4 linked regions of the Stegostoma tigrinum genome follow. The protein of the gene in region 4 purifies or fractionates together with the protein of the main gene of each other region. This does not show direct contact. Links are inferred from orthologs where the notes say so. Each region holds a gene or a part of one and is shown on either strand. Other genes may lie near its edges.

Region 1 (7,078 bases), on a different chromosome or scaffold from region 4:
ACCCTTGTCTGCCTTCCGGAGAGACCACTCTCTCCGCGAATCCCTTGTCTGCTCCACACTGCCCTCCAACCCCACCACACCCGGCACCTTCCTCTGCAACCGCAAGAAGTGCTACACTTGCCCCCACTCCTCCTCCCTCACCCCTATCCCAGGCCCCAAGATGACCTTCCATATTAAGTAGATGTTCACCTGCACATCTGCCAATGTGGTATATTGTATCCATTGTACCCGGTGTGGCTTCCTCTACATTGGGGAAACCAAGTGGAGTCTTGAGGACTGCTTTGCAGAACACCTCCGCTCGGTTCGCAACAAACAACTGCACCTCCCAGTCGCGAACCATTTTAACTCCCCCTCCCATTCCTCAGACGACATGTCCATCATGGGCCTCCTGCAGTGCCACAATGACGCCACCCGAAAGTTGCAAGAACAGCAACTCATATTCCGCTTGGGAACCCTGCAGTCCAACGGTATCAATGTGGACTTCACAAGCTTCAAAATTTCCCCTTCCCCCACTGCATCACAAAAGCAGCCCAGCTCGTCCCCTTCGCCCACTGCATCACAAAACCAGCCCAGCCTGTCTCCACTTCCCTAACCTGTTCTTCCTCTCACCCATCCCTTCCCTCCCACCTCATGCCGCACCTCCATTTCCTACTTACCACCTCATCCCGCCTCCTTGACCTGTCCGTCTTCCCTGGACTGACCTATCCCCTCCCTACCTCCTCACCACATATCTTCTTTTCTCTCCATCTTCAGTCCGCCTCCCCCCTCTCCCTAATTATTCCAGTTCCCTCTCCCCGTCCCCCTCTCTGATGAAGGGTCTAGGCCTGAAACGTCAGCTTTTGTGCTCCTGAGATGCTGCTTGGCTTGCTGTGTTCATCCAGCTCCACACTTTGTTATCTTTGATGAACTGCACACCATTCAAATGGCCAACAAACATATAACCCATCTTGGTCCTGTTCTTTAACTCTTAAACGGACAACTCACACAGTTCCAAAGATCACTCCAAAACGCTCCTTAAAATGTCACAGTATTAGCATTATTGCTCCCAATTATTCAGAAAGTTCACGCCTTCTACATCAAGCTACATCACACATCAAGTCCCAAAGCCTTAAAGAAGCAGAACGAAATGGATATATTCTCTCCCTGTGGGACAACCTGTGGAGATTGATCCTGAGAGTTTCTAAGGCATGTTCGAGCGATTCGACAAAGACTTGAAGTGAGGGATGTGTGATTTCTGAAGAAGGGTCTAGGCCCGAAGCGTCAGCCTTCCTATTCCTCTGATGCTACTCGGCCTGCTGTGTTCATCCAGCTCTACACCTTAGAACATAGAAAAGTACAGCACAGTACAGGCCCTTTAGCCCACAATGTTGTGGCGTGGAATATTCCTAATCCAAAACTAAAATAGCCTAACCTACATTCCCCTCAATTCACTGCTGTCCATGTGCATGTCCAGCAGTTGCTTAAATGTCACTAATGACTCCGCTTCCAAGACTACCACTGGTAAACTATTCCATGCGCTCACAACTCTCTGGGTGAAGAACCTCCCTCTGACGTCTCCTCTATACCTTCCTCCTAACACCTTAAAACTATGACCCCTCATGGCAGTCAATCCTGCCCTGGGGAAAAGTCTCTGGCTATCGACTCTATCCATGCCTCTCATTACCTTGTACACCTCGATCAGGTCACCTCTCTTCCTCCTTCTCTCCAGAGAGAAAAGTCTGAGCTCAGTCAACCTCTCCTCGTAAGACAAGACCTCCAGTCCAGGCAGCATCCTGGCAAACCTCCTTTGCACCCTCTCCAAAGCCTCCACATCCTTCCTATAATAGGGCGACCAGAACTGGACACAATATTCCAAATGTGGTCTCACCAGGGTTTTGGAGCTGGCAGCTCTTAAACTCGATCCCCCTGTTAATGAAAGCCAAAACACCATATGCTTTCTGAACAACCTTATCCACCTGGGTGGCAACTTTGAGGGAGCTATGCACTTGAACACCAAGATCCCACTGTTCCTCCACACTGCTGAGAATCGTGCCTTTAATTCTATATTCAGCATTTAAGTTCGACCTTCCAAAATGCATCACCTCACATTTATCCAGGTTGAACTCCATCTGCCATTTCTCAGCACAGCTCTGCATTCTGTCAATGTCGCGCTGAAGCCTGCAATAGCCCTCGATACTACTAACGGCACCTCCAACCTTTGTGTCATCAGCAAACATACTAACCCACCTCTCAACCTCCTCATCCAAGTCATTTATAAAAACTACAAAGAGCAGAGGCCCAAGAACAGAGCCCTGTGGGACACCACTCAGCACTGATCTCCTGGCAGAATATTTACCATCTACAACCACTCTCTGCCTCCTGTCAGCCAACCAATTCTGAATCCAGACAGCCAAATCACCCTGTATCCCAGACCTCCTGACTTTATGAATGAGCCTGCTGTGGGGAACCTTACCAAATGCCTTGCTGAAGTCCATGCACACCACATCCACTGCTCGACCCTCGTCAACCTGTCTCATGACTTTCTCCAAGAACTCAAGATTTGTAAGGCATGGCCTGCCCCTCACAAAGCCATGCTGACTCCCTTTAATCACGCTATGCTTTTCCAATAGTCATAAATCCTATCCCTCAGAGTTCTTTCCAAAACCTTGCTGACCACAGACGTAAGACTGACTGGTCTATAATTTCCAGGGATTTCCCTATTCCCTTTCTTGAAAAGAGGAACAACATTTGCCTCCCTCCAATCTTCCGGTACGACTCCCGTGGAGAGTGAGGAAGCAAAGATCTTCGCCAGCAGCTTAGCAACCTCCTTTCTCCCTTCCCGGAGCAACCTAGGATAAATCTGGTCTGGCCCTGGGGACTTATCAATCTTAGTGTTTGCCAAAATTTCCAGCACATCAACTTCCTGTTGTACCAGGAAATGTACCACAATTTACTTTATACTCTTCCTTTCTGTTTTTCACACCAAAGTGTATACTTTGTGTATACATTTAGCCACATTGTAATGCATTTGGCAGTGTTTTGATCACTTAACTTGTTTAAACTTGTTTAACTTGAAGCCTTTTTGCATCTTCTTCACAAATCTTACCAAGCTTTGTGATGTCAGCAAACTTAAAAACATTGTACCTGGCCCTGGGTATTTATGTATATTGCAAATAGCTGACGGTTAAGCACTGATCTTTGTGATAACCTTCTAGCCACTGTCATCTATTTGAGAAAAGACCCATTTACCCTCATTCTATTTCCTGTCTGTCTACCAATCTGGAATCCATGCCAATATATTGACCCATAGCATGTGTTTTAACTTAGCCCACTAACCTCTTATGAGGATCCTTATTAAGTTGTTATCTCAGATTCTCCAGTATCTGCAGTTCCTACTATCTCTGGTGAGGGAGTTGGTCATCAAAGAGCTGGTAACATTGTGACTCAACGAGATAACCTGTAAACTTTAGATATTCTAACATCGTCTCATACGAATTGTTTGTGAAATAAAGTTGTAGATGCAAAGGAATTTGGACATCCACACAATATCGCTTTGTGTGGGTGCTTTCATCTTCACTCTGAGTCCGAAGAAAATTGTTTTGCCCGTTGCCAAGTCAAACATCCTACTCTCTCCACGTACTTTCCCCACTGCCATGTTGCCCTCCTCCTTTCGGCCGCTATAACTCTCAGGAAGAGTCGGCCGGGAAACAGGGAGGGGTGAGGGGAACTACAATTCCCGTCGTGCCCCGCGTCCAAGGGTGGTCGGACGACTTCCGGCCATCTCTCCCATCCAGCTAAGTGGGGAGCTGGATGAACACAGCAGGCCAAGCAGCATCTCAGGAGCTTTTGTGCTCCTGAGATGCTGCTTGGCCTGCTGTGTTCATCCAGCTCCACACTTTGTTATCTTGGATTCTCCAGCATCTGCAGTTCCCATTACCTCTTCCATCCAGCTGACGGGTGGAACTCAGTCGGTGGTGGGGCCGGGGATTATGGGAAAGGTAGTCCAGGCGCCCAGAGCGGATAGTGGACGCCAATTGTGAAAGGTACTACATCCCCCAGCGGCACCAGCCCAGCCGCCCATGCGCAGTGGGGGCGAGGTTGATGTAGGGGAGCCGTGGCCTGTCGGGCGGAGCTGCTCCCGGAGTCACGAGTGATTTTTGCTGTTGGTTTCTCCCTTCACAGTTGTGTGTTTTGTTTTTGTTTTGTGTACGTTCTGACATTAATTTACTATTTCTGTGAAAGTTTAATTTCCGTTTTTGCGATCTCTTTTTTTTTGGGTTTATTTTTAAATTAAAAAAAAGCATGAGCGATAACGATGACATCGAGGTCGAAAGCGACGTAAGTCTCGCCTGGTGCCTTCTATTATTGTTATTTTTGTTTCGAAATTTTGCTTGATTTTTCAGTTTCGTTTGTGTTTCGAAAATAATAATAAAACGTTTTTAACGTGTTGGGAGTTGTTTCCACCTGATTGTGAAAAAAAAATAATTTTTCCCCTTTTTTCTCTGTAGTTACGGATTTTCCCCCTTTTCTCTCTCTCTCTCTCTTTCTGTCGATTTTTTTTGTAAAGCGCCAACTCTCCGGCTGTGTGATCATTTTGTGCACTTGTCTGTTTTTCAGGAAGAACAGCCGAGGTTTCAGACAGCGGTACGTAACGGAGGATTAACATAGACCCCGTCTCGTCGCCTTGATTTTTCTTTAAAAAAAAATAAATCTTATTTATATACTTAAATAATCTTTAAACTTATTTTACCATCCCCTAAACGTAATTTACTTCGTGTAATCAAAGAAAAAACAAATCAAATTAATCTTAAAAGCCTGGATTATTATTTTTAACCTGATAGTTGCTGGGGATGTGGCTTCAAGCTGCTGTCCCAGTATCCTCCCTCTTTTATTTGGATTACCTTTTCAGAATATTATTGCAACCTTTATTTTTAAAGTAAGATGTCCCGAAACTTAACTTTACTGCTGATGTTTGTATATTTTAAAAAAATCGATTCCCGCCCGTCGCCTGAGTCTGGTCAAATGGCCAGCTCAAGGCGTTTAGAGCTTGAGTGATAGATAGTGTCTAGGTTAGAGACATTACAAAAGGCCCAGTAGCCCAGTCGTGCAGAATGCCCTTTAATGTGGTTCCTTAACCCTCGCTGTCTTAGGAATTCTTCTCCTCCATCTCTTGCTTGCCGATTTTCTATCTTCGTTTCACTTTTGGAGATTTTCATTCCTTCCCCTTTCCCTGTGCAATGTTTTCAAAAACAATTCATTTTGCCCACAAGCCTCAGCGCGTCCTATTTACATCCATTCCACTCTTGTACTGAAGCCAAACAAATAGATTCGCTCGAAATCGCTGGCATCTTATCTTTTTTGTTCCAGTATGTTTTTTTTATCCCTCTTCTTTTCCCCTGATTCACCCAATCTTCGCGTTTCGCGTGAAAGTGTGTCCGATCCATCGGAAACCTGCACTAATGGGAGCATTTAACACATTCGTCGTGAGCTGTTTTTCTCCCTCCCTTCCTCTTTTGTAGATGTGTAAACGTGTTTGATACAGCGGCTTCGGACGACCGGCTGCTGAAAGCAATTCTTATTCGTCGTTTTCGAGAAACTTTTTTTTCCCCTCTCTCCGCCTATTAATAACAAAATGTAAATAGTTAAGATACTTGTACGGGTTTTTTTTGGTTGTATGCATAACACAAAATGGACTCCAGGAAGTGTGTGTGTAATCATTGATCAGGTAGAATGATGCCTTTAAAAAGCCAACTGAACACTTAGTTATGTGCCATATTTAAATATTTTAAAAAAATTGAAAGTATAAGTTTTTAGGATCCCGTGAGAAATTTTACTTTTCTTGTGATGAGCAGCCAGGATGCCAAATACTCCACTGGTGGGCTGAAACCCTAATATTTGGTTGACATTCAGATCCTTAGGCCCAGACATTTTTGTTTATTGTCCATTACAGGGCACCTAGAATGTATTGCCTCAATAGGTGACACTTAGATTCCTCTATTTGTCTCCTGTGAAGTAAGCACAGAGCAACAATGGCCCTGAAAGTTGTGGAGGAATCTGTGACCTATTTGACTGACCTCCAACATTTAGTGTTGAGGTGAGACTTTTTAAACAGAATGATGACACAAATATTACCAATTATTACCTTGACCACAATTGAGTTACCTTCTTAATTGAAACCAACATTCAGTAAAGAAAAAAATAGGCACATAGTTCTTGACCTGTGGAAGATAAATGAGGATGAGCCTTACAGATGTTATGAATAACATCACTGAGAATAGAATGATTATTAGGGACTAAATGTATTTAGCAACTTGTTTTTGTGCTTGTAGACTTCCTAGCTGTGCAGGTTTTGGAGGGAAGCACTGCAGGGGCACTAAATCTAATGTATGTGTGTTGCTGTTGGACTGTAAATTAATTGCAGGTGCTCCTCTCACTTTTTTTACATTTGAAATTCAGTAAAATTGCTTTTTTTAATGCAAATCCCAGATGTGTTTATTGGGTAAATTCCTAACTGTTTATTAAGTTCCAATACTTTGAACAAAATCTATCAGAAAAATGCAGTTAACCAGTTTTCCAGTTTGTGGGAGTTTCAGTTGCAACACAGTTTTGTTTGCAAGCCAGATAATTATCTGTTATTTCAGCAAGAAATCTGCAAGCATTGATTGTTGCCCAAAATTTGCAAAAAAAAAAGAGTATTTGGTTTGCCAATGCTTTCTCACAATTGCACTATTCCTAACTGGTCAGGCTAATACATGGCAATAGTCACCTGTGGCTCCAAGCTTTAACTTCCTGTGTAATATGGTAGTTTGGTAAGAAATTAAACTATGGAAATTTTTTGTATAGAATTTGCTCCAATTTTTCGGCACTGTTTTTGAGGTGTTATTCAGTGTGCCTCACCTGATAATGTTAGAGCTGACATTACAAGCAGATGTGCAAAGTTGCCTCAAGATGATTGCGACTGTTTTTTTATCTTGTGGAATGCGGTATATGTCCTTTTCACTAATTATCTAATTTGGTGAGGCACATTCAGGAGTTTGAAGGAAGGAATGTGAAGTCAGACTTGTACTTGGTTATCTGCGGTTATTTTTCCTAAATGATG
Region 2 (7,452 bases), on a different chromosome or scaffold from region 4:
TAAATTCAAGGCTGACTTAGGCAGATTTTTATTCTGCAGTGGAGTTAGGGTTGTGTGGGATGGCAGGAAAGTGGATTTAAGGCCACGATCCATTCAGCCATCATTTTATTGAACGGTGATGAGAGCTTGAGGGCTGAATGGCTCACTATTGCTCCATTTTCTTATGATCTTATGTCTATCAGCTGTTGAAGGCACTCAAAAAATAATCTAATTTAAATATAAAAGGTTTTGTCACAAATGCAGTTGGCAACATTTTTTAGTGGATCATTAAACTTGTTATTATCCGTCTATGTTTCCAGAGGCTTGGTAAAAAGATAAAAAAATTATGTTACCAGGACAACACTGCTCCCACTAGGGAGGATTTGCGTTTGTTCAAAAAATTGTCAAAGTACTTTAATTAGTCACTTTGTTATGTAGTTATTAATCTTATGCAGCCACTTTTGCAGACAGCAAGATTCCAAACAATAACGAAATGAACGATGCTTTAGTTTTTTTTAATGTAGAACTTTACCATGTAGATGCAGACCATGCAACCAACCTATGCCAATGTTTAGACTCCACATGAGATTCTACCTCATCCATTATCCATGTGTTGTTATACAGCTTTCTCCCTTATCTAGTTCCACTTTAATGCATCAGGGCAGTTTGTCACAATTACTTCACCTGGTACTCCATATTCTCTCAGAGTAAAGTAGTTACTCCCGAATTCCAGAGGGCAGGTAGCAGTCAACCACATTGCTGTGGGTCTGGAGTCACATAGAGTCCAGACTAGGTAAGGATGGCAGTTTCCTTCCCTAAAGGAAGGACATTAGAGAGCCTGATGGGTTTTTTTTTTCCTGGCAATCAACAATGTTTCATGGTTATCATTAGACTCTTAATTCTAGATTTTTGTTGAATTCAAATTCCGCCATCAACAATGGCGAGATTCAAGTCTAGCTCCCCAAAATATTGCTTCGGTCTCTGAATTAACAGTCTAGCATTAATACCACCTCCCCATATAGGATGCATACATTTATAATTATCCCACCAAACCCTACTTCTAATTTTAAAGACTTCTATCAGGTCAATCTTCAGCTGTCTGCTTACTCTGGTAAAATAAGCCCAACTTTTTCTTGTAATTATGTGAACAGAGTTCTTAAGTCAGCCTTGGAAATAATTTTTCCGCATTCTCTGGTGACTTCAGAGCCTTTTCATAATACCGGTACACACTCCCAAATTTAGCAACCTTGGGACTCAATCTGTGCCAGTCTTTGGAACATGGCAGTCTTCAGAGAGATGATAAACTGGAATTCACTAGTTCAGATTGGAACACTTTAATATGGTAAGTACAGCCTGAAGGGAAACCAACTGATATGACTGCCAAGCACTAAGTTAATATCATGTGCCTGGTGATATTAATTCACCTCTCATGCATCGGATTTAATATCTCTTTCATGCTTTCCCGCTTCGCTATGTCAGTACAACTGGTTAAATTGAGAAAAAAAATCAATTTTAAAAAAAGCCTGCACTTCAGAAAATGCTGGTTTTGGGGTAGCTAGATTTGGAGTGTTTACCTATAAAGGTCAGAACTATGCACAGTACTCCAACAGAGGTCTAATCTAAGTTGTACACAAGTTTAAAATAACACAATATCTTTCCAATCAATTCTATCCCTCTAGAAATTAATCTCAGTGCTCTGGCCTCATTAACCTGCATTGTTATTTTTAGTGATGTGTGCATCTATATCCCTAGAGCTCCTTGCTCCTCTCATTTTGACTCTAATTTTACCCGTTTATTAATGTTCACTACCTCACACTTACCTATACTTAAACAAATCAGTTCTCTTCTGACCTGCTTCATTCACCCTGTATTCCCACCACAGGCAGATGGATGAACTAAGCGCATGGTTTTGGAAATGGCTGTAATCTCAGGAAACTCCACCTCACAACAATTTCTTCACCAAGCCATGTGCAGATTCTGTTCTGCCAGTATGATGTGTGACATACTGATGGAGGAAGTATTTCTCTGCTCCCTAGTTACTTAAAAAAGTTCAGCGTTTTTTTTAATGATTCTGGGCAAAGTGATTCACTTCCTTTGGTACTCATCTCTTCATTAGAGACAAATGAATTGCACTTAGACTGCACTTACCGAGTGGAGTGAAACTGGAAAAAATTTGTGGCTGGGGACGGGTAGCAGGTGTCGAGAAATAGATATTTTTACAACCATTTCTGCAATGTTTGAGTGACAGTGACCTCTGAGACCTCACGCTGTAATGGATGGGCAAAAGTAAGTTTCCTCATGCTTCCAAACAGTTAAAACATGATTGTTAACATTACTCTGATTATTATGAAGTTAGTTTTGAGGTCCAGTTTCCTTTCCATTTTCCCTGCTTTCTCTCTCTCTCACACTTAGTTTGCCACTCTCTCTGTCTCTCCTGTTCTCTCGAGTCCTTTTGTTCATCTGTTTCTACTCACTTATTCCTCTCCTCTTTGTTCATGGTTTCCTCCCAATGTGAAAAGGTGTTTTCTTTCTTCAGTTTCCAACACCAAGGCACAATTGCAGTTTGTTCCTACATCAACAGCCTTCTATTGCTTGAACTCTTCCTGAATCCGACAAAGACTTGGGTTGGGGTTCCCCCTGGGACACCGCTGATCTCGGCTGCAATGGCTTTGGGAAAGTTACAATTGGCCACAATTCCTCTGGGTTAAGGCAAAGGTAAATCAGCCAGCTCCCTGTCGCTGCTCATTATCCAAACACCATGTCATTGAAAGTGCTTTTGTGTGTTGACACTGCATGCTGAAAGGGTGCAAGATTAGCAATAGCAGTTTGCATTTTTTTGAAAAAAATGACCTTGCATTCATATAGCGCCTTTCCCAACCTCAGGACACCATGCAATATCTAATGGCCAAATTTTCGATAAAATAGAATCACATCAGTTTGAGGAGGTAGCTCGCCACTACCTTTTTCAGGGCAATTAACAATGGACAATGAATGTTGGCCTAGCCAGCGGTGCCCACATCACAGGGTCGAATAAAGAAGAATGCAGTAGCCAACCTGTGCATAACAAGATCCCACAATGTGGTCAAAACCAGATATTCTACATTATAATGATGTTTGTTGAGGATGGAGTACTGATCAGGACCCTGGGATGATCTCCCCTGTTCCTCCTTAAGACAATGATGAACAGTCCTTGACAGGAAAGAGGCTGAATCAATTGAACATTGCATTCAAAAGGAAGCACCTTGAACAGTGCAGGACTCCTACAGTTCCCCAGTGGGAATAATGGTCTGGATTACACACTCAAGTCTCCAGATGAGTTTTTAACTCTCAGTCTTGTGTGGTTAGATAACTCACTGCTGTGTCACTTAAACAGCAAACTGCATTTTGGGAGTGGATCATAGAATCCGACAATCACACAGCACAGAAACGGCTTTCGGTCCAACTTGCCATGCTGAACACATATCCTAAATTAAGCCAGTCCCAAATGCTAGCATTGTGCTCATATCCCTCTAAACCTTTCCTATTCACATACCCATCCAGATGCCTTTCAAATGTTGGAATTGTACCAGCCTCCATCACTTCCTCTCACAGCACATTCCTCCCACAGTCATTCATGCATCACCCTCTGCACGAACAAGTTGCCCCTTGGGTCCATTTTAAATCTTTCCCTCTCACCTTAAACCTATGTCCTCTCATTTCGGGCTCCCCTACCCTGGGGAAAAAAGGTCCTTGGCCAGTCACCCTATCCATGCCCCTCATTATTTTATAAACCTCCATAAGGTCATTCCCTCAGCCTCCGCCCCTTCAGGGAAAATAGCCCTGCCTATTCAACCTCTCCCTATAACTGAAACCTTCCAAGCCTCGCAACATCCTTATAACTCTTATCTTCACCCTTTCAAGTTTAACAACATCTTTCTTATAGCAGGGAGACCAGAATTTGAATGTAGTATTCCAAAAGTGCCCCAACAATACCCTTTACAACTGCAACATGACTTCCCAACTCCTATACTCAATGCTCTGATCCAATAAAGACAGGTGTAACAACGGTCTTCTGCACGACCAGGCAGAGAAAGAGAACATCATGCCAAATAATGTAGGTGGCAATGCAGCTTAATAAAGGCAATGTAATGCAAGGAAAAGAAATATAAATTGTTTTCATGAAACCATCATTAATTGTGTCTTTACACAGACTCACTCTCTCACGGCTGCGAAGTATTAAAACAGTCAGGATGCTGTGCAAGCCTCAGCTGGAGTCAGGCTTTTTAAAAAGTCTGTGCTACTCCTGTCGCTTTAAGAAACCAGTTTGAGCGCTGTGATTGGCTACCGTTGCATGTATCCTGGTCAGTTAACCACCAATCAGCGACGGGTATTTGCAACAGATGGCGGGAAATATGAATTTCGCGGCACAGGCTTTGGCGCCAGAGGCTGAGTTTCAGAGTCTGTGAATTAGGCTGCATTCAGGAGCTAGTACAGTTTCTGCAGCCATTTTTCCCCTCTGAATCAGAGGGGACCTTTTACAATCCATTGCATCCTGCTGCATCCAAAGCAACGTTAGCTGTGAGACCCCGTGCAGTTTAATCTCGGGACTCTGCTAATCATTTATATGCCTGCATTTGTTGACTCTGTCTTTTATTTTGTGTTCAAATCCCGGTTTGAAGTTAACCATTTTGTTTTGCCCCTCTCTCTCTCTCTCGTTGCAAACAAAAGGGGGAGAGTGGGGGAAAGATTGCAGCCTTGCCAAAAATGCCAAAGGGAGTTTCCCCAGCCCCAGGCAGGGGAATTATTGGGGCAGTGACTGGTTCCCAGAAAAAGCTAATCAATGTGGAAAATGGGAATACCGGGCTATGTAGCCCCCAGATCCCCACCATCCCTGCCAGTTATTTCACCCAAATTGCAGGAGCAGTATATTCTGATCACAGTGATTGCCTGTATGCAACCCCTCAAGGACCTGAAGTTAGAACAATAAGGACTAGCACAGGGCGCCTGCCGGTAAGTGTAATTTTATAATTTATACATTCATTTTGAAATAATCGCGCGTTTATACTTGGTGTATTTTGCTCAGTTCCTGCAGTTATCAGGACACTGCATTAATAATCATTCAGGGAAATTTACTTAGCTCTTAGTAACATGTTTTACAAAAATGCAGCATTGATAAATTAACCCTACTTTTGTGTATGCGTTTGTGGGATGGGGGTGGGGGTGGGGGGCATGTGGAGTGTGAAGACAGGTTTCGCTTTTTGCTGTGTAACTGGATCTATTGTGATAGAGAAAATGCTCAGATGGCTGTTTACTGTAACTCTAGGCTGCCTTAATTTTTTCATTTATTTCAGGACGATTTAAAAGTTTCTCAAGCCTCCCGATTTATCATCAAAACACGTTGACAATTTTCTTAGGTGATCAAACTGTCACTGAAATTTTGCTGGGCTTGCCTTGGGTTGGCTCTAAAGTTGAGGACATTCTCAATATAATATCTTTTCAATCAAGAGGTGTCAACTTTTTGGAGGGTGCTTCCTTGTATGAAATTCAAATGAAAATGAAAGTAACCAGCCTTTGGCACTTTATTGGCACCAAGCCTTTAACCTCAATATTTTTACTGGAGGGTGGGGAAGGATGTTTAATGCCAATTCTATAGTGTAGGCAGCTTGGGGTTCAAAGGTAAAAATGGAACTGACAGTAGAATCCCCAGCAGAAAAATGTAAAAAATGAAAATGTAATGATTTCAAACTGCAGGGAAATGTTGCTGCTGAACTTTCTTTTTGACCCTCTTCTTTGTGGGAATAGGGCTGTTTCAATTTTTAAATATTGATCTTCTGTGGCTTAATACTTAGATCTAATCTTGTCTCTGTATAGCACCCACCCCTCCCCTCTTGAATTTATTCAAAAGCCCCACTCGGCATCTTTTGAGAATGAGGCAATATTAACGCAAGACAATGCTCACCTGTGGCACCTTGTTTATTACTGACCTCATCGAAGTTTCTTCTCATGGACCAGGGAGCTTGTAAAGCACAGATGATGTTACAGTACCCAAAAACACAGTTTTTAAATACTTACTTTGGTCGTGGCCTACTTTTTTGTGGGGGATGGGGAAGGAGTTTCTTATTGACTGAACTGTTTTTCCGAGGACGGACTCTAGTAGCAGAAGTTTAGTTTTCCAGTATGCAGGGGAATTAATTTACAAGGTGTATTTGTCATCTCTTGCATGCTGTATAAACATTGCTCTTTTGATTCATTGCTCTTGCTCCTTTTGGGCTGGAGTTCTTGTTCAGCTGCTCGCTCCATTGCCTCTGACAGAGAGAGCAGGGAATGCCATTTAGTCCTCTGATTCTTATCTTTGCCCCAAATATTTATTTATACACCAAAGATATCAACAATTGGGAGTCTTTGAGGACACGCTGGAGCTTTCAGAAAGCTAGGCAGGGGTATTTAATTGGAGGCAAAAATTCAGTTTCTTGATAGGTTAAGGTTTTGCAATCAATTTCTGAGGAACTTTCAGATGGGTAAGGTTTCCTAATCCTCATTGAGCACCATTTCTGTACTCATTAGCATGTCATGTTTGTTGTTAACCCACTGGAATTGCATTAATAGGCCCAATCCCATTATCCAAAATGGCAAGATCATGTACTTGCAGATATTCTTGTGTATTCACAGAAAAGCACACAAGCCAGTGCCAGCCAGCGTAGACTGTGCCCTCCGTACTCTGGACAGTATGTATAAACTTCACCAACTTGATTCCCTTTTAATCAAGCTGTTACTTTGCTCAAATGTTTAACGGGTGAAGCCTGACCTGCTCATTCAACTCACTATAAGTCTGCCATATGCAATCTGCCACCTTTTTGTAGTTAAACACTTGAGAAGGGTGAAGCATCTCCATGTTCAGTGGCTCAAGAGAAGTCTTGGCCTTGTGCAGTCTGTTAAGTGTTAACAAGTCAATGTTAGGGTTGAACACTGGACCATCCATCAAGCCTGCCCACACATGGCAGCCAGATTGCCTGATGCCAGCAAACCTGATTGGGGCGGTCAAATGAAGCTTGACTCCCTGGGGCCAGCTTTTGTGCTTGTACCCTTGTTCCATACAAGCCATTGCTGAAAACAATCAGATGTGCATGTTATCAAGTTGTGATGGAAGGTCAGTGAGCTGATGGTGTGTGAGCTGCTGAGTGTTGTAACTCCTTCACTATTTTGCATATGAACCCTCCCAGTTGTGTGGGAGCCAGTAGTACTACGGTATGCAATGCTGCCTTGGTAGCTGGCATTAAGTGACAGACATTGATGGCCCGTGAGGCATCCAGTGGAGTTGCTTGGTTGCCAACCCTCGTATTGCTATCCTCTGTAGAGGCAACCTTACGGTGCTAACTCTCACTCAGAGGGATGTCAAGTGGTACGTACTGAGGTAGAAGGCAGAAGTTATTTAGTCTTCTGGCACTGGAGCTGGGTTCTCTTGAGCTGCCCATAGGCACTGTCTTCATAGCTACC
Region 3 (7,357 bases), on a different chromosome or scaffold from region 4:
AAAGGTAATTACAGGGGCATGAGAGAAGAATTGACAAAAATCGACTGGAAGCAGAGCCTAGCAGGGAAGACAGTAGCGCAACAATGGCATGAGTTTCTGGGTGTAATTGAGGACACAGTACAGAGGTTCACCCCAAAGAAAAGAAAGATTATCTGGGGTAGGATTAGACAGTCATGGCTGACAAAAGGAAGTCAGGAAATGTATCAAAGTAAAAGAGACAGCCTATAAAGTGGCCAAGAGCACTGGGAAATCAGAAGATTGGGAAGGCTACAAAAACAAACAGAGGATAACAAAGAGAGCAATAAAGAAGGAGAGGATCAAATATGAAGGTAGGCTAGCCAGTAATATTAGAAATGATAGTAAAAGTTTCTTTCAATACATAAGAAACAAACAAGAAGCAAAAGTAGACATTGGGCCGCTCCAGACTGATGCTGGAAGGCTAGTGATGGGAGATAAGGAAATAGCTGAAGAACTTAAGTACTTTGTGTCAGTATTCACAGTGAAAGACACGAGTAGTGTGCCAACAATTAAGGAGAGTCGGGGGGGCAGAGTTGAGTATGGTAGGCATTACAAAAGAGAGAGTGCTAGAAAAGCTAAAAGGTCTAAAAATTGATAAATCTCTTGGCTCTGATGGGCTACATCCTAGAGTCTGAGGGAGGTGGCTGAGAAAATAGCGGAGGCTTTGGTTATGATCTTTCAAAAGTCACTGGAGTCATTGGAAAATCATTGTAACCCCCTTGTTAAAGAAAGGATCAAGGCAAAAGATAGAAAATTGTAGGCCAATTAGCCTCACGTCAGTCGTTGGTAAAATTCTAGAATCCGTCATTAAGGATGAGATTTCTAAATTCTTGGAAGTGCCGGGTCAGATTAGAACAAGTCAACATGGATTCAGTAAGGGGAGGTCGTGCCTGACAAACCTGTTAGAATTCTTTGAAGAGGTAACAAGTAGGTTAGACCAGGGAAACCCAGTGGATGTTATCTATCTAGACTTTCAAAAAGCCTTTGACCAGGTGCCTCACAGGAGGCTGCTGAGTAAGGTGAGGGCCCATTGTGTTTGAGTGTGGTCCAGGAAATGGCTGATGAAATTCAACGTGAGCAAATGTGAGGTCCTGCACTTTGGAAAAAAGAATACAGGCATGGACTATTTTCTAAATGGTGAGAACATTCATAAAGCTGAAGTACAAAGGGATCTGGGAGTGTTAGTCCAGGATTCTCTAAAGGTTAACTTGCAGGTAGAGTCTGTGATTAAGAAAGCGAATGTAATGTTGTCACTTATCTCAACAGGGTTGGAATATAAAAGCAGCGATGCGCTTCTGAAACTTTATAAAGCCCTAGTTAGGCCCCATTTAGAATAACATGTCCAATTTTGGGCCCCACACTTCAGGAAGGACATAATGGCGCTGCAGTGTGTCCAGTGGAGATTCACACGGATAATCCCTGGAATGGTAGGTTTAACGTATGATGAACGGCTAAGGATCCTGGGATTGTATTCATTACAGTTGAGAAGGTTGAGAAGAGATCTAATAGAATCTTACAAGATAATGCATGGCTTAGAAAGAGTGGATGCTGGGAAGTTGTTTCCATTAGGCAGGGAGACTAAGACCCGCAGGCACAGCCTTAGAATTAGAGGGGGTAAATTTAGAACGGAAATGAGGAGACATTTCTTCAGCCAGAGTGCTGGGCCTATGGAATTCATTGCCACAGAGCGCAGTGGAAGCCGGGATGTTAAACATCTTCAAGACAGAAACTGATAAATTCTTGATCTTGCAAGGAATTAAGGGCCACAGAGAGAGTGCAGGGAAGTGGAGTTAAAATGTCCATCAGCCATGATTAAATGGCGGAGTGGACTCGATGGGCCAAATGGCCTTACTTCAACTCCTATGTCTTATGGTCTGTTTCCATGCTGTACAACTCAAGGACCGTACATGGCAGCCTCTGTGGGAGAGAAATTGGAAGCTGACATTGGGGGCAGCACCATGGCTAGCATTGCTGCCTCACAGCACCAGAAACCAGAGTTCAATTCCATCCTTGGGCAACTGGGTGGAGTTTGGACATTCTCTCCATGTCTGCTTGGATTTCCTCTGGGTGCTCCTGTTTCCTCCTACAGTCCAAAGTAGTGCAGGTTAGGCAAATTAACTATACTAAAAATTACCCATGGAATATGCAGACCTACAGGCATAGGGTTGGGAATGTCAGTCCAGGTAGCAAGTTCTTTGGAGGGTCAGTGTGGACTTGATGAGCCAAACTGCCTGCTTCCACACTGAAGGGATTCTATTAAAAAAAAACTACAGATGTTGGAATTCTGAAACAAAAAAAAACAGAGAAACTCAACAGGGTTGGCAACATAGGGGCAGAAAGCAGGCAGCAAAGTTCTGAATCCAGTAACCCTTTTTCAGAAGGGTTATACAGCAATTTCTGCATTGGTTTCAGGGTAAATTAGACAATGTGTTGCAATCATAGTTCACTGTTACTCATTGAAAACAAACGCCAGGGACTGCAGACCTAAGATTACTAAACAGTGCAGCATCTGATAACATTGTAACGAGACGGATGCTTTGTCTTGAACCTGTAGATCGAACCCTGACAGCACAGACTTTTAGCAACATTTTAAAAAAACTCCAAGATTATCACTCACGTGGATATCACAGCCTTAGCAACAATGTCTCTCTGTTTACTTGCAAATTTTACTAACTGGAAACAAATTGGCAAGAAGGGAAAACATTAAAAACACACAAACCCTAGTTTCTACAATTTGTGGTTGAGGTATCATCGACTTCAAAAACAGCTTCATTTGTCTGAAGCAGCTGGACTTTTAGTCATTACTCATCCTAAAGCTCACCTCATAAATTGCACAAACTGTCTTATTTATAATTAATTCAGCACACTTTCTTTCAAACAAAAACACAAAAGACTCACAATCTTGTTCCTCCTCTTTGTGCAACTTGATGTTCGAATTCAGGTACACAACGCCGCCATTTCAGGCCGGATCATTTCCTTTAACGTGCTCGCTCATTGGAGGGGGCCGCAACCCCCGTCAACCAATGGAAAGAACAATAGCAGGGTAGGCGCTACCGAGCACTCTGGGAGATGTAGTCCATCAGCATGAATGGACAATTTTTAACCCTCACAGATAATTGCAGGCAGTGTAGGTTTTCCACCGCAAATTAAATTATCCAATGTTTTTCTACTCCAAACTAAATTATCCAATGTCCTGAAATAGCCATTTTCTGCTCCAAGCTAAATTATTCAATGTTTTGAAATAGCCATTTTCTACTACAGACTCAATTATCCAATGCTTTGAATTAACCATTTTCCACTGTAAACTAAAGTATCAAGTGTTTTGAGTAAGCCAACATAAAAATACATGGCAATGCAAATTTCATGCCAAAAAGATTTGAATAATCACACATTCAGAGTTCACATTGAAATGATTAAGATTCTGTAAGGGCTCGATTGAGTTGAGTCTGAGATTGTCTACACTGGTCTTGGAAGTAATAAAATACAGAAGCACAGTCTCAGGTTAAGGGGCCAATCATTTAGGACTGAGATGAAGAGAAATTAATTCACTGAACGGTTATCAATCTTTGAATTCCCTACTCAGATGGATGCAGAAACTATTGTTGAATGTATTTAAGGCTGGGATAACAGTTTTTGGTGTCTCAGGGAACAAGGTCTCTGGGGCATGGATTGGAGAGTGAAGTTGAAGCCCAATATCAGCCATGATTGTAATGAATGCTGAAAAAGGCTCAACAGGCTGAATGGTCTCTTCTGAACATCTAACTTAATAATTTTGAATGATATGCAGCACCTACTGATTAAAAGCAAGCAGGACTAGACTCAATGTTGAGTTTTCCTCAGTACATAATTTATTTGCAGAAAGTGGACCTGTATAACTTTCTTCTTTAATTAATTATTCACAGTAGTTTATTGTGTAGTCAGGGTTAGGGGATGTCTATAAGTATCCCATAATACACTGCACGGATCCATGTATTTTTCATGCAAGAGTTCTTTACTCACAGGAAAATCTGTACATGCATCAGAGGCTGTAACTGTTGTTACATCAGCAACACTTCAGCTTTGATGTTAACACCATGACTACAGTTATGGATACTGTTTGCTACCCAAGGTACAGACAATGTGGTATATACCCTTGAGAAGGTGGTGGTGAGTCGCTTTCTGCAGTCCAGGTGATGCAGATACACCCACAATACAGAACAAGGTCTCTGGGGTGTGGATTGGAGAGTGAAGTTGAAGCCCAATATCAGCCAAATTATGTACAGAATTGCAGAAATTTGACCTAGCAACAAGGAACAGTGGTATCAATCCAAGTCAAGGGCCCTGCAGTGATTTATTTTGGCTGAGATGGTTGACCTCTAAAAAGCTGCTAATTTGTGTTCAGCAGGTGTCCAGGATGACGACACAAATCCAAGGCATAAGAGTTGGCTTGGCTTGTAAGGACAGTCTGCAAGAGCCCACCCAACATGTCTGATTACACATCAGCACTTACTAACTCAGCACCATCCCCTACAACTGCCCTTCCCTTACCAACCCTCAACATCAGCAACTTACACCACCCAACCCCCCCAACACCTCCAACAAACCCCAACTCCAGGCATATTGTTCCCTGATGTGAATGTGTCCTCTATCCCTTTCCTGAGAGTTGGCCACCCTAGTAAAGGGCAAGTTGCTGCAGTGCATCTTGTAGATGGCACACACTGCTGCCACTGAGTTTCAGTGGTGAAAGGAATGATTGCTGAAGGTGGTGGCTAGGGTGCCAATCAAGTAGGCTCCTTTATCCTTGATGTTGTTGAGTTTCATGGTTGCCCGATTGCTGAATACATTTCAGACAGAGGACTATAAACAACCTGGCAGTCAGACTTTGTCAGGGGCAGGGAGAAAAGTGGAATTGCGGTCACAGTCAGATCAGCCATAAATCTTAGCAAATCACATTCAGGCTCGAGGGGCTGAATGGCCTGCTCCTGCACCTAATTCATAAGTTCTTGTCCAGTTGGAAGCCAAGCGGACAGCATTCCATAACATTGCTAACTTATCCCTTGCAGATGGTGGGCAGACTTTGGGGAGTCACTCACTGCATGATTCCCTGTCCTTGGTTGGCTCTTATAGTTACAGTGATAATGGGAACTGCAGATGCTGGAGAATCCAAGATAATAAAGTGTGAAGCTGGATGAACACAGCAGGCCAAGCAGCATCTCAGGAGCACAAAAGCTGACGTTTCGGGCCTAGACCCATCATCAGAGAGGGGGATGGGGTGAGGGTTCTGGAATAAATAGGGAGAGAGGGGGAGGCGGACTGAAGATGGAGAGAAAAGAAGATAGGTGGAGAGGAGAGTATAGGTGGGGAGGTAGGGAGGGGATAGGTCAGTCCAAGGAGGACGGACAGGTCAAGGAGGTGGGATGAGGTTAGTAGGTAGGAGATGGAGGTGCGGCTTGGGTTGGGAGGATGGGATGGGTGAGAGGAAGAACAGGTTAGGCAGGCAGAGACAGGTTGGACTGGTTTTGGGATGCAGTGGGTGGAGGGGAAGAGCTGGGCTGGTTTTGGGATGCGGTGGGGGAAGGGGAGATTTTGAAACTGGTGAAGTCCACATTGATTCCATTGGGCTGCAGGGTTCCCAAGCGGAATATGAGTTGCTATTCCTGCAACCTTCAGGTGGCATTATTGTGGCACTGCAGGAGGCCCATGATGGACACATCATCTAAAGAATGGGAGGGGGAGTTGAAATGGTTCGCGATTGGGAGGGCAGTTGTTTATTGAGAACCGAGCGGAGGTGTTCTGCAAAGCGGTCCCCAAGCCTCTGCTTGGTTTCCCCAATGTAGTGGAAGCCACACCGGGTACAATGGATACAGTATACCACATTGGCAGATGTGCAGGTGAACCTCTGCTTAATATGAAAAGTCATCTTGGGGCCTGGGATAGGGGTGAGGGAGGAGGTGTGGGGGCAAGTGTAGCATTTCCTGCAGTTGCAGGGGAAGGTGCCGGGTGTGCTGGGGTTGGAGGGCAGTGTGGAGCGAACAAGGGAGTCATGGAGAGAGTGGTCTCTCTGGAAAGCACACAAGGGTGGGGATGGAAAAATGTCTCGGGTGGTGGGGTCGGATTGTAGATGGCGGAGGATGATGCGTTGTATCCGGAGGTTGGTAGGGTGGTATGTGAGAACGAGGGGGATCCTCTTTGGGCGGTTGTGGCGGGGGCGGGGTGTGAGGATGTGTTGCCGGAGACACTGTCAAGGACGTTCTCGACCACTGTGAGGGGAAAGTTGCAGTCCTCGAAAAACTTGGACATCTGGGATGTGCGGGAGTTACGGTAATTTTTATGCCTGTTTCGGTTCAGTTAAAAGTCAATGGTAACCCGAAGGACGTTGACAGTGGTGTTGAATGTCAAAGGGAGATAGTTGGAGTCTCTCTTGTTGAAAATGGTCATTGCCTTACACTTGTGTGACACAGACCTCGCTTGCCTTTTAACAACTCAAACCTAGATCTTGTTGACATCATGCCACACTTGGATGTGGATTGCTTCAGTCTCTGAGAACTCGTGAATGGTGCCGAACGTCATGCAATCATCGGCAAACATCCCACTTCTGACTTTGCAATGGAGGGAAAGTCATCGATGAAGCAGCTGGAGGTGATTGGGCCTAGGACACCACCCTGAGGAACTCCTGCAGAGACATCCTGGAGTTGGAAAAGATTGCCCTCCAACAACTACGACCATCTTCCTTTAATTTAATTGTGTGGGAAATGGTGGGGTTCTATTTTAATCGTTTATGGGGTGTGAGTGTTTCACACAAGATCAGCATTTGTTGCCCTTTCTTAATAACCTACAAACTCAGAGGCTTGCTCGATCACTCCAGAGGAGATGTCCATGACATATCTGAGGTCCTGGAACCATACATAGGTTGATGAGATAAAGACAGCAGATTAATCTTCCTTCTCAATGAACCAGATTTTTATGTGATAATTTAAAGCTCTGTGACCACCATTACTGAGTTGAGTGTTTAATGACTTTAATAACTTCAAATTTAAACATCACCAACTGCCTTGGTGGGCCATACTCTCACACCCCCAGAATATCAGCCCAATCCAGGATTACTCGTCAATGACATTAGGCCTTTGACTTTCCTGATAAGAGTATGGCCTGAAGGGGGCTTTTGGTTGCCCTTCAGTCCTAGACTGCTGATCATTTGCCTGTTCAGAGGGAGAAGGCTACGTCAAAGGATGGACTATGTGTGATGGAATGCTCCCCATTTGCCTGGATAGATACAGCTCCAACAACAACCAAGGAGCTCCACACCATCCAGGACAAAGCAGCCGCTTGATTTGCAGCAAATCCATGTACACATAGTCCC
Region 4 (7,741 bases):
ATCCCTAAACCAGCCCAGTTCATCCCCTCCCCCCACTGCACCACACAACCAGCCCAGCTCTTCCCCCCCACCCACTGCATCCCAAAACCAGTCCAACCTGTCTCTGCCTCCCTAACCGGTTCTTCCTCTCACCCATCCCTTCCTCCCACCCCCAGCCGCACCCCCAGCTACCTACTAACCTCATCCCACCTCCTTGACCTGTCCGTCTTCCCTGGACTGACCTATCCCCTCCCTACCTCCCCACCTACACTCTCTCCACCTATCTTCTTTGCTCTCCATCTTCGGTCCGCCTCCCCCTCTCTCCCTATTTATTCCAGTTCCCTCCCCCCATCCCCCTCTCTGATGAAGGGTCTAGGCCCGAAACGTCAGCTTTTGTGCTCCTGAGATGCTGCTTGGCCTGCTGTGTTCATCCAGCCTCACATTTTATTATCTGTTCTGGGGCAAGTGTTTGAATTGATCATTAATGTTATAATTGGACACCTAAGACATTCAGGGAGTCTCAGCATAGTTTTGGGAAAGGGAAATCATGTTTAAGCAATTTTTAGATGTCTTTGGAGTAATGTGCAGCGGATAAAGTGCAGCCTATAGATGTAATGTAGTCAAATTCCCAGAAGTTATTTGATAAGATGCCACAAAGGTTATTACAAAAAACAAGCACAATGAGCTGGTGTGTTTGTGTGCACACAAGCAACATATTTGCTTGGTCGAAAGATGTTCTAAAAACAAAGAAAATGATGTAATTGGGAAGATGTGACAAGTGGACTCCTACAAGTGCCTATGCTGAAGTCTCAATATTTTACAATTCATACCCAAAATTCAGATGAGGACAGCAAAGACCATATTCACAGAAAATTGAGGATAAGCAGGAAAATATGTTGTGAAGACGACATAGTGGGCAAAATCTGGCAGATTGAGAAAAATGAGACACATGAAGTTGTTCACCTTAATAGCAAGAATATTATTTGAACAGCGAACAACGCAGGATCCCACACTGCAGAGGGATTTACGTGTTCTAGTGCATGAGGCACAAAATGTTAGCATGCAAGTACAGTAAACGATACAGGCACATGGTATTTTTTTTTGCAAGAGGAATTGAACATAACAGTAATGATGTTATGTTCAATTATATAGGACATTGGTGAAACCACATCTCAAGTATGTGTGCAGTTTATACCACCTCAGTTAAGGAGGGATGTAAAGATGATTCAGAGTTAGTTCGTTAGACTGACACCTTGAGTGAATAGATGGTCTTATGGATAGGCTAGACAGGCTACATTTGTTTCCATTGGAGTTAAGAAGCACGAGGGATAATTTGATTGCAGTATATAGATTTCCTAACCTTGGTGACTTTCACATGGCTTAAGAACATTCACGCATGAATTGGCTAGAAGGCCTGTAAATAGTCAAACAATGAAGTTGCTTTCTTGCCTAAATGAAAGGCTCACGTTCTTAGGACACCAAGTGTGCTTTTATCATTCTGTGTGATTTTCAACTTTTTGGATGTCATTTCACAGATTTTGAATCAGTCACCTTGATCTCCCTTCCCTTCTGTCAGCCTTCACGGCAGCATGGGAGCAGTCTTTTTTATAACTCTAATGAGCAACAACATCGGCAACAACTGTTGTGCCTTCACTTCAACAGCATGCCACTTCCCAGGATAGAGGAGATGGATGCAAAATTCTACCTCTCAAGAGTCTAGATCCGTCGCACAGGGTTTACTGGCAAAGGATCAATTTTCTCAGTAGACAGCAAATGTGCTTCAGGAGGCTCAGGCTTTTGTGACGGGTCATTGCTGACATCTACAGCCTTCTGGAAACGACCTGCTTCGCAGTAAACTAGGGGGCTACATACTGTCAGTGGAAGTCAAAGTCACTATGTCCCTGGATTTCTATGACCCATGATTCAGAGTTGTCCAACACAGAAAAAGTCTCTTCGGTCCAACTTATCCATGCTGACCGGATATCCTAAATTAAATTTAGTCCCATCTGCTAGTACCATATCCCTCTAAACCCTTCCTATGCATACACCCATCGAGATGACTTTTAAATGCTGTAATTGTACCAGCTTCCACCACTTCCTCTGGCAGCTCATTCCACACATGCACCACCCTGTGTGAAAAAGTTACCCCTTTGGGCCCTTAAAAATCTTTCCTTTCTCACCTTAAATCTATGCCCTCTAGTTTCAGACTCTCCAAGCCTGGGGAAAAGACCTTGGCTATTCACCCTATCCAAGCTCCTCATGATTTTATAAACTTCCACATGGTCACTTCACAACTTCCAACCCTCTGGGGAGAACAGCCCCAACCTACTCAGCCTCCTCCCTATTGTTCAAACCCTCCAATCCCAGCAACATCCTTATAAATATTTTCTGAGACCTTTCAAGTTTCACAACATCCTTCCTTTATCAGCGAGATCAGAATCTCACAATTAGCTGCCCATAAATGCATCTACCAAGTAACCAAAACCAAGCTGGTCAGGACTGCATTTATTTTTATGTTGCTACCAACAAAGCCAATCATAACCAGATGTCTTTTGCTTCTCCATTGGTGCAGGAGTTAGAGATTGCACACATAGCAATTTAGGTAGCCTCAGATCAAGGCAGCAATCTTTTGACGATTTGAAGGTTTTCACTTCAGTGTTCCAAATTTGATGTGTAATTCAGCTCACCGGACAGATCTGGAGGATCTTTCGATCTTCCACTTGTAGCAACAAGGCTGTCTAAAATAGGGAGGGTCCGCTTTGGCTTGCGAAAACATCACACGGCAAAGAGAACTGAAGCTGCAGGAACAGGAAGGTGAAGACAATGGTAAACTAAGTATGCAAACCATTAGTTAGGGCAAGCACATACACTGTTCACTGACTTGCCTGATCCTCCAAACAGGTAGCCATTCTTTCCGTAAAGTTTTGAATATCAATTTAATGGTGCTAATGTTTAAGACCAAAACTTCCAATCTTTCTCCAGGATGCAATATGTCTCTGAAAATGTACATAGAATCTCACATTTTCAGCTGTTGTTCCAGAATAGTTCCCTTTACTATTCACTGCCAAGCCTCAGCATTTGCTTAATGATAATTATCACATGGCCATTTACAGGATTTCATTTTTGCTTTTTAAATATTTATGAGATGCAAATGTCACTGGTAAGGACATTTCTCATCTTTAGAGGGTGTTGGTAACCTTGAATCACTGCATTCTACACAGTGTCAGTACACCAACTGTTAGAGAGGTAGATCCAGTGTTCTGGGCTACTGACAGTGAAGGAATGTCAATATATAGTTCCAAATCAGGAACAGTGAGAGACTTGGAAGACAACTTGCAGATTGTAGTGTGCCCAAAATTCTACTGCCCTTATCCTTCCAGGTGTTATAGTTTAGGGGTTTGGATGTTGCTGGAAACCTGATGTTTTGCACTTTGTACACTGGGCACACAGCTCTCACCATGCACTGGTACTACAGTCAGTAAATATTCAAGGTAGTGAATGGGTTGTCATACAAGCAGACTTGCTTTATCCAGGATGCTGATAAGCTTGTTCAGTATTCAGGGAGGTCACTTACCAGAGAAGAGTTTTACATCACACTCTTCACTTGTTATTTAAGATGGGAGTCAAATTTTGGGAATTGAACTAAATAGCACAGAGTGCCTAACATCTGATCTGCTCTTGTAGCCACAGTATTTAAATGGCTGGTTCAGTTAAGTTTCTGCTCAATAAGTCCCAGAATGTTGACAGGAGGGAAATTCTGTGATTGTAATGCCAGGACTTCACTCCATCCGTTAAGGGTCAAATGCTGACTTGATGGTCCAATTTTGTAAGGGCTCTCTTTACCAGACTTCTATACTGTACCAAAATTCTCTTTAGTACCAATTTTCCAGGGCTCCAATTAGTTAAAACTGGAATGAAAACAAAAATTGTCGGCAAAACTCAGCCGGTCTGGCAGCATCTGTACAGAGAGAGAAAAAAAAAACGAGGTAACGTTTCTAATTCAGGGCCTTGTTTCACTCATTCGATTTATGGCTCACCTGCCCTGTAGAGATCGCGTCTTAGTCTGACGCTCCAGAATGATAGAACCCCTAATGTGAGGAAGCAGGGCATTCGGCCCATCGAGCCCAGTCCGAAGAACACCCCGTCCAGACCACAGCCATGTCCAGTGCAGACTAACGGGAGACATTTAGTCGCGCTCCATACCCAGGAGCGGTCCGCACAACCATGATGAAACAGTTGCCTAAGCTAGGCGCATGGCTGTGGCTGTACCCGAAGAATTACAAAGCATTCTTCTTCATTAGGCTGTAGCTACCAACGAATGCCATCTTACCTGACCTGAAAGGCTGAATTGACAACCACATCCCTCAAATACTCGAACAAACTCTTGCTCTCCGGTCACGTCCAACACATTTTCAAAAACAACAGCTACAGGGAAAGCGCACGCTGGCTGAGCCTCCACCAATCGCCAGCCTCGATGGATGAGAAGGCCGGAGGCTTATTTCGTAAAAACGAATCCGATTGGGCGAAGGGCAGACCCCGATGGGGGCGACGGCTGTCCGCCCTCGGAGGGCCAACCGCGTGGGGCCGGAGACTTCGCGGTGGGAGGGGGAGGGAGAAGAGAGGGGGAAGGCTCGTTGAATAGACCAATGGGGCAGAGTCATGGAGGCGGGGCCGAGCGAGGAGCCAATGGAGGAGCGGCGCGAGCCGGACACCGCCAAGATCGGTTGAGGATGAAAACAGTTGTGAGCGACTGTAGGCAGCTTCATTTTGGCCGGAGCGGCGCGTCGGTTGGTGGGGAGGGAGACGGGGCGGCAGTGCGTTTGAAAGCCTATCTTATCCTACCCTAGGACCATCTAAACACCCTAAACTGCTATCCTCCTCCTCTTTTACCCACCCTGCGCACTAGTTGCGATTAAAAAAAAACTGACAGAAACAAAAAAAACTAAACCCTTCCCGCCTCTCAGAGAATAATGACAATGTAATTCCAGTGGATTGGAGCTGAGTTTTATATTAATTTTTGAATCTATTCCCCTGATGTGTCTGGTGCTGGCCGAGAAGCGGCGATTTGCTTCATTTCTCTCACTCACCCCTATCCCCCGCCATCCCCTTCTTTATTTGGTAATCGCTGTTATATTTATTTTAAATTTCTCTTCTTCACATTACTCCCCTTTCACCCCCCCTGGAAAGAGGAAAAAAATTGAGAAAGCGCCGCCTGTGGAGTCGACAGATTGATATGTGTTGAAAAGGTATCATTGCTTCACCTCGGTCTTTTTTTTTCTTAAGAAAATAGGGAAAGGAATATGTGATCGGCTTAATTTTAGCCTCAAACTAAGCTTTTCTCAAGTTTCTTGTCTAGATTTTGTCTCGGTGATGTTCCTGGAAATGAGTTAAAATGACTGAAGTGTTTTTGTTGTTGCTGCTTCGTTTTCTCTTTGACACGAATTAAGGAAGGAGAGGCCTGGTGGTGTGGGGAGGGAGAATTGTATTTTTTTTAAGCTGTAATCTTGCAGCACTGCTATGAGTCCCATCTGCTGTTGCTTTGGCTTCAGGTTGTTTACAGTAAGAGAGCCCCTGGCTTCAAGGCCTATAGGCTCCTGATGAGGAGGGGAGGGGAGAGTGCCGAGGTTGGAGGTGTCCCAAGTTGAAGTGGAGTGGGTATAGGGGGAATTGCAAAAACGGCCCGAATTGTTTAAACGTATGAATTTTGCTAGGCTTTCAATTTTAAAAGAAAATTTGAATCGCCTCCCAATATAACACCAGAGTATGTAAGACATCAGCACGAAAGACAAAAGCAATTGCAAGCTAATTTATCTAAAACTTTTTTTCGTCCAAACTTCTTGACGTTGTAAATGTGCATAGTTTTTATATCTGTATGTATAATCTTGAAGGAACTACACCTTTTGAGCATATATATTGATGAAAGGGATAAGCTCTCTCAAGGTTTGTTTCGAGCATGCTTTCAAAGTAAAAAGTGTAATCTTTAAATGCTTGATTTTCTGATCGTTAACAGGACGGTGAATATAGAGTATGGAAGGCACTGATCTTTAGAACGGGATTTGAAAAATAGCGATTATTAAATGTATTTGTATTTCATATTCGTGTATCTGGTGGATAGGCCATGAGGCCTGGCGGGGCCTTTTTGCTAACTGATCTGCAGGAAACCGGTTGTGTTAACGTCCTGTCTTAATGTATTCTGATACCGTTTTAGGATTTGACCTTAGTTTGCAAAAGTAATAATGTTGATCAGGTTTTGGTGTAGGTTTTAAACTAAAGTAAACTGCAGATTGTTTGATCAGATTTTACACAATTTGCCTAGTTGCTTCTGGAGGACTAGGCCCCAACAATCTGTTTCAGTAATTTACAAATTAAGTTTTGCTTGTATGCAATTACCAAGTTTCTTTGATTTTTTTTCATTGCCTAAAGTATTTTCATTTGTAATGTTTTCAAATATTTGAACAAACGTTTAAAATGACCTAAAAGCTGCAGAATATAATAGGCAATTGACTGAATAAATAAAGATAATAGCAGTATTTCTGCTATGTAATGTAACTTTAAAAGTGACAAGCCAAATAATCGTTGAAGTTCTGAAAAGTTAAATGAAGGCATAAGTTAATTAGCTGTTATATTTTGGAACTTGTGCATTAAAGAAGTTTACTCAAAAAATTATTCAATTTCACTCTTTTACATTTAGGTGCCGTCACATTGGAATCCTGCATGTTTAATTTTGGCAACTGAAGTATCCAAAATTCAGCAATAAAAGTACCATTAACATGGCCAAAGATGTAAGTCTTTTATTTTTGCCAAAAATAAAGCCTTAATTGTGAAATTATATGCAACATTACTCTGTAACATTAGCTAGCATTTTTGTATTAATCCAAAGATGCCCTTGGCCTTATTTGCTTTTAAGGAATAGAAGACGGTTTGCACTTTTATAGTATATCTCATATTGCAAGTTGTTAGGAATCCACTAAAATACTGTGTCCAATTATGTGCATTTATATCAGCGAACATGGTAGCCAAGATCTACAAACATCATGAGTTGAACAACTGCTCGGTCATATTGCATGTTGTGTATGTGGATTATTGAACAGCATAAAAAGAAGGCTCCTTCAAGTGGTGTCATTGTGTTTCAGCTGTTCTTCAGGTACACACGTCTGGATCCGTCAACTGGCAGAAGTCATGGAATCTTCTTGCCCACTTGAGTGGATAAATGGGTTAATGTCCCATCAAAAAAACAGAAATTCTGCAATGTGGTGCAACTGTCTTTACAATACGTTGAAAGATATACCCACACTACATCAGGCATATCTTACTCTAGCTTAAGTGCAGCATTCTTACACTTTCAACATCAAAACACATTGTAAGGTTTAATCCTCAGTTTACTTCTTGCTCCTGTGATCATAAGCCTTTAGACTTGTTTTTTGATACACTCTACTCTGTAATTCTTGCTGTTCTTACAATCAGTATATTTCCCTGTATATGGCCCTTCACCATCTTTTAGCCATTTAAGACGGACAATTCTACATCATTATGCACAAACCATTTGCTGTATTGTTGCATCAGAAATTATAACTAATTTAACAACAGAGATTTTTGAGTATTTTGGCCAACAAATATCAGCAGTTTGATTTTATTATCCTCCCAAAAAGAGGGTGTGAGTGACGATAAATATCTTCTCTATCCCCACAGGAGAAAAGTCCAACTAGTTTATTAGCTAGCTGCTGATTATGTACTTCAATTAATTGTTCTTAGAAATGTTCTT

Evidence for each region.
Region 1: the proteins of transcription factor Dp-1-like (region 4) and max purify together in Homo sapiens (affinity purification with mass spectrometry; 5 studies listed by BioGRID and IntAct, with this or other methods). This does not show direct contact. The link is inferred for Stegostoma tigrinum from reciprocal best matches to the Homo sapiens genes TFDP1 and MAX.
Region 2: the proteins of transcription factor Dp-1-like (region 4) and e2f2 purify together in Homo sapiens (affinity purification with mass spectrometry; 3 studies listed by BioGRID and IntAct, with this or other methods). This does not show direct contact. The link is inferred for Stegostoma tigrinum from reciprocal best matches to the Homo sapiens genes TFDP1 and E2F2.
Region 3: the proteins of transcription factor Dp-1-like (region 4) and lethal(3)malignant brain tumor-like protein 2 purify together in Homo sapiens (affinity purification with mass spectrometry; 4 studies listed by BioGRID and IntAct, counting the BioPlex papers as one, with this or other methods). This does not show direct contact. The link is inferred for Stegostoma tigrinum from reciprocal best matches to the Homo sapiens genes TFDP1 and L3MBTL2.

The regions. Positions count from the first base shown.
Region 1 is NC_081363.1:71,192,871-71,199,948, forward strand, and holds the start of max (protein max), read left to right. Parts: upstream 1-4,073; 5' UTR 4,074-4,281; coding exon 4,282-4,317; intron 4,318-4,596; coding exon 4,597-4,623; intron 4,624-7,078. UniProt on the Homo sapiens protein: Transcription regulator. Forms a sequence-specific DNA-binding protein complex with MYC or MAD which recognizes the core sequence 5'-CAC[GA]TG-3'. The MYC:MAX complex is a transcriptional activator, whereas the MAD:MAX complex is a repressor.
Region 2 is NC_081377.1:29,050,821-29,058,272, reverse strand, and holds the start of e2f2 (transcription factor E2F2), read left to right. Parts: upstream 1-4,434; 5' UTR 4,435-4,722; coding exon 4,723-4,968; intron 4,969-7,452. UniProt on the Homo sapiens protein: Transcription activator that binds DNA cooperatively with DP proteins through the E2 recognition site, 5'-TTTC[CG]CGC-3' found in the promoter region of a number of genes whose products are involved in cell cycle regulation or in DNA replication.
Region 3 is NC_081391.1:5,934,460-5,941,816, forward strand, and holds the start of lethal(3)malignant brain tumor-like protein 2, read right to left. Parts: upstream 3,002-7,357; 5' UTR 2,917-3,001; intron 1-2,916. UniProt on the Homo sapiens protein: Putative Polycomb group (PcG) protein. PcG proteins maintain the transcriptionally repressive state of genes, probably via a modification of chromatin, rendering it heritably changed in its expressibility.
Region 4 is NC_081368.1:16,482,150-16,489,890, reverse strand, and holds the start of transcription factor Dp-1-like, read left to right. Parts: upstream 1-4,735; 5' UTR 4,736-5,225; intron 5,226-5,899; exon of another isoform or gene 5,900-5,919; intron 5,920-6,670; 5' UTR 6,671-6,749; coding exon 6,750-6,761; intron 6,762-7,741. UniProt on the Homo sapiens protein: Can stimulate E2F-dependent transcription.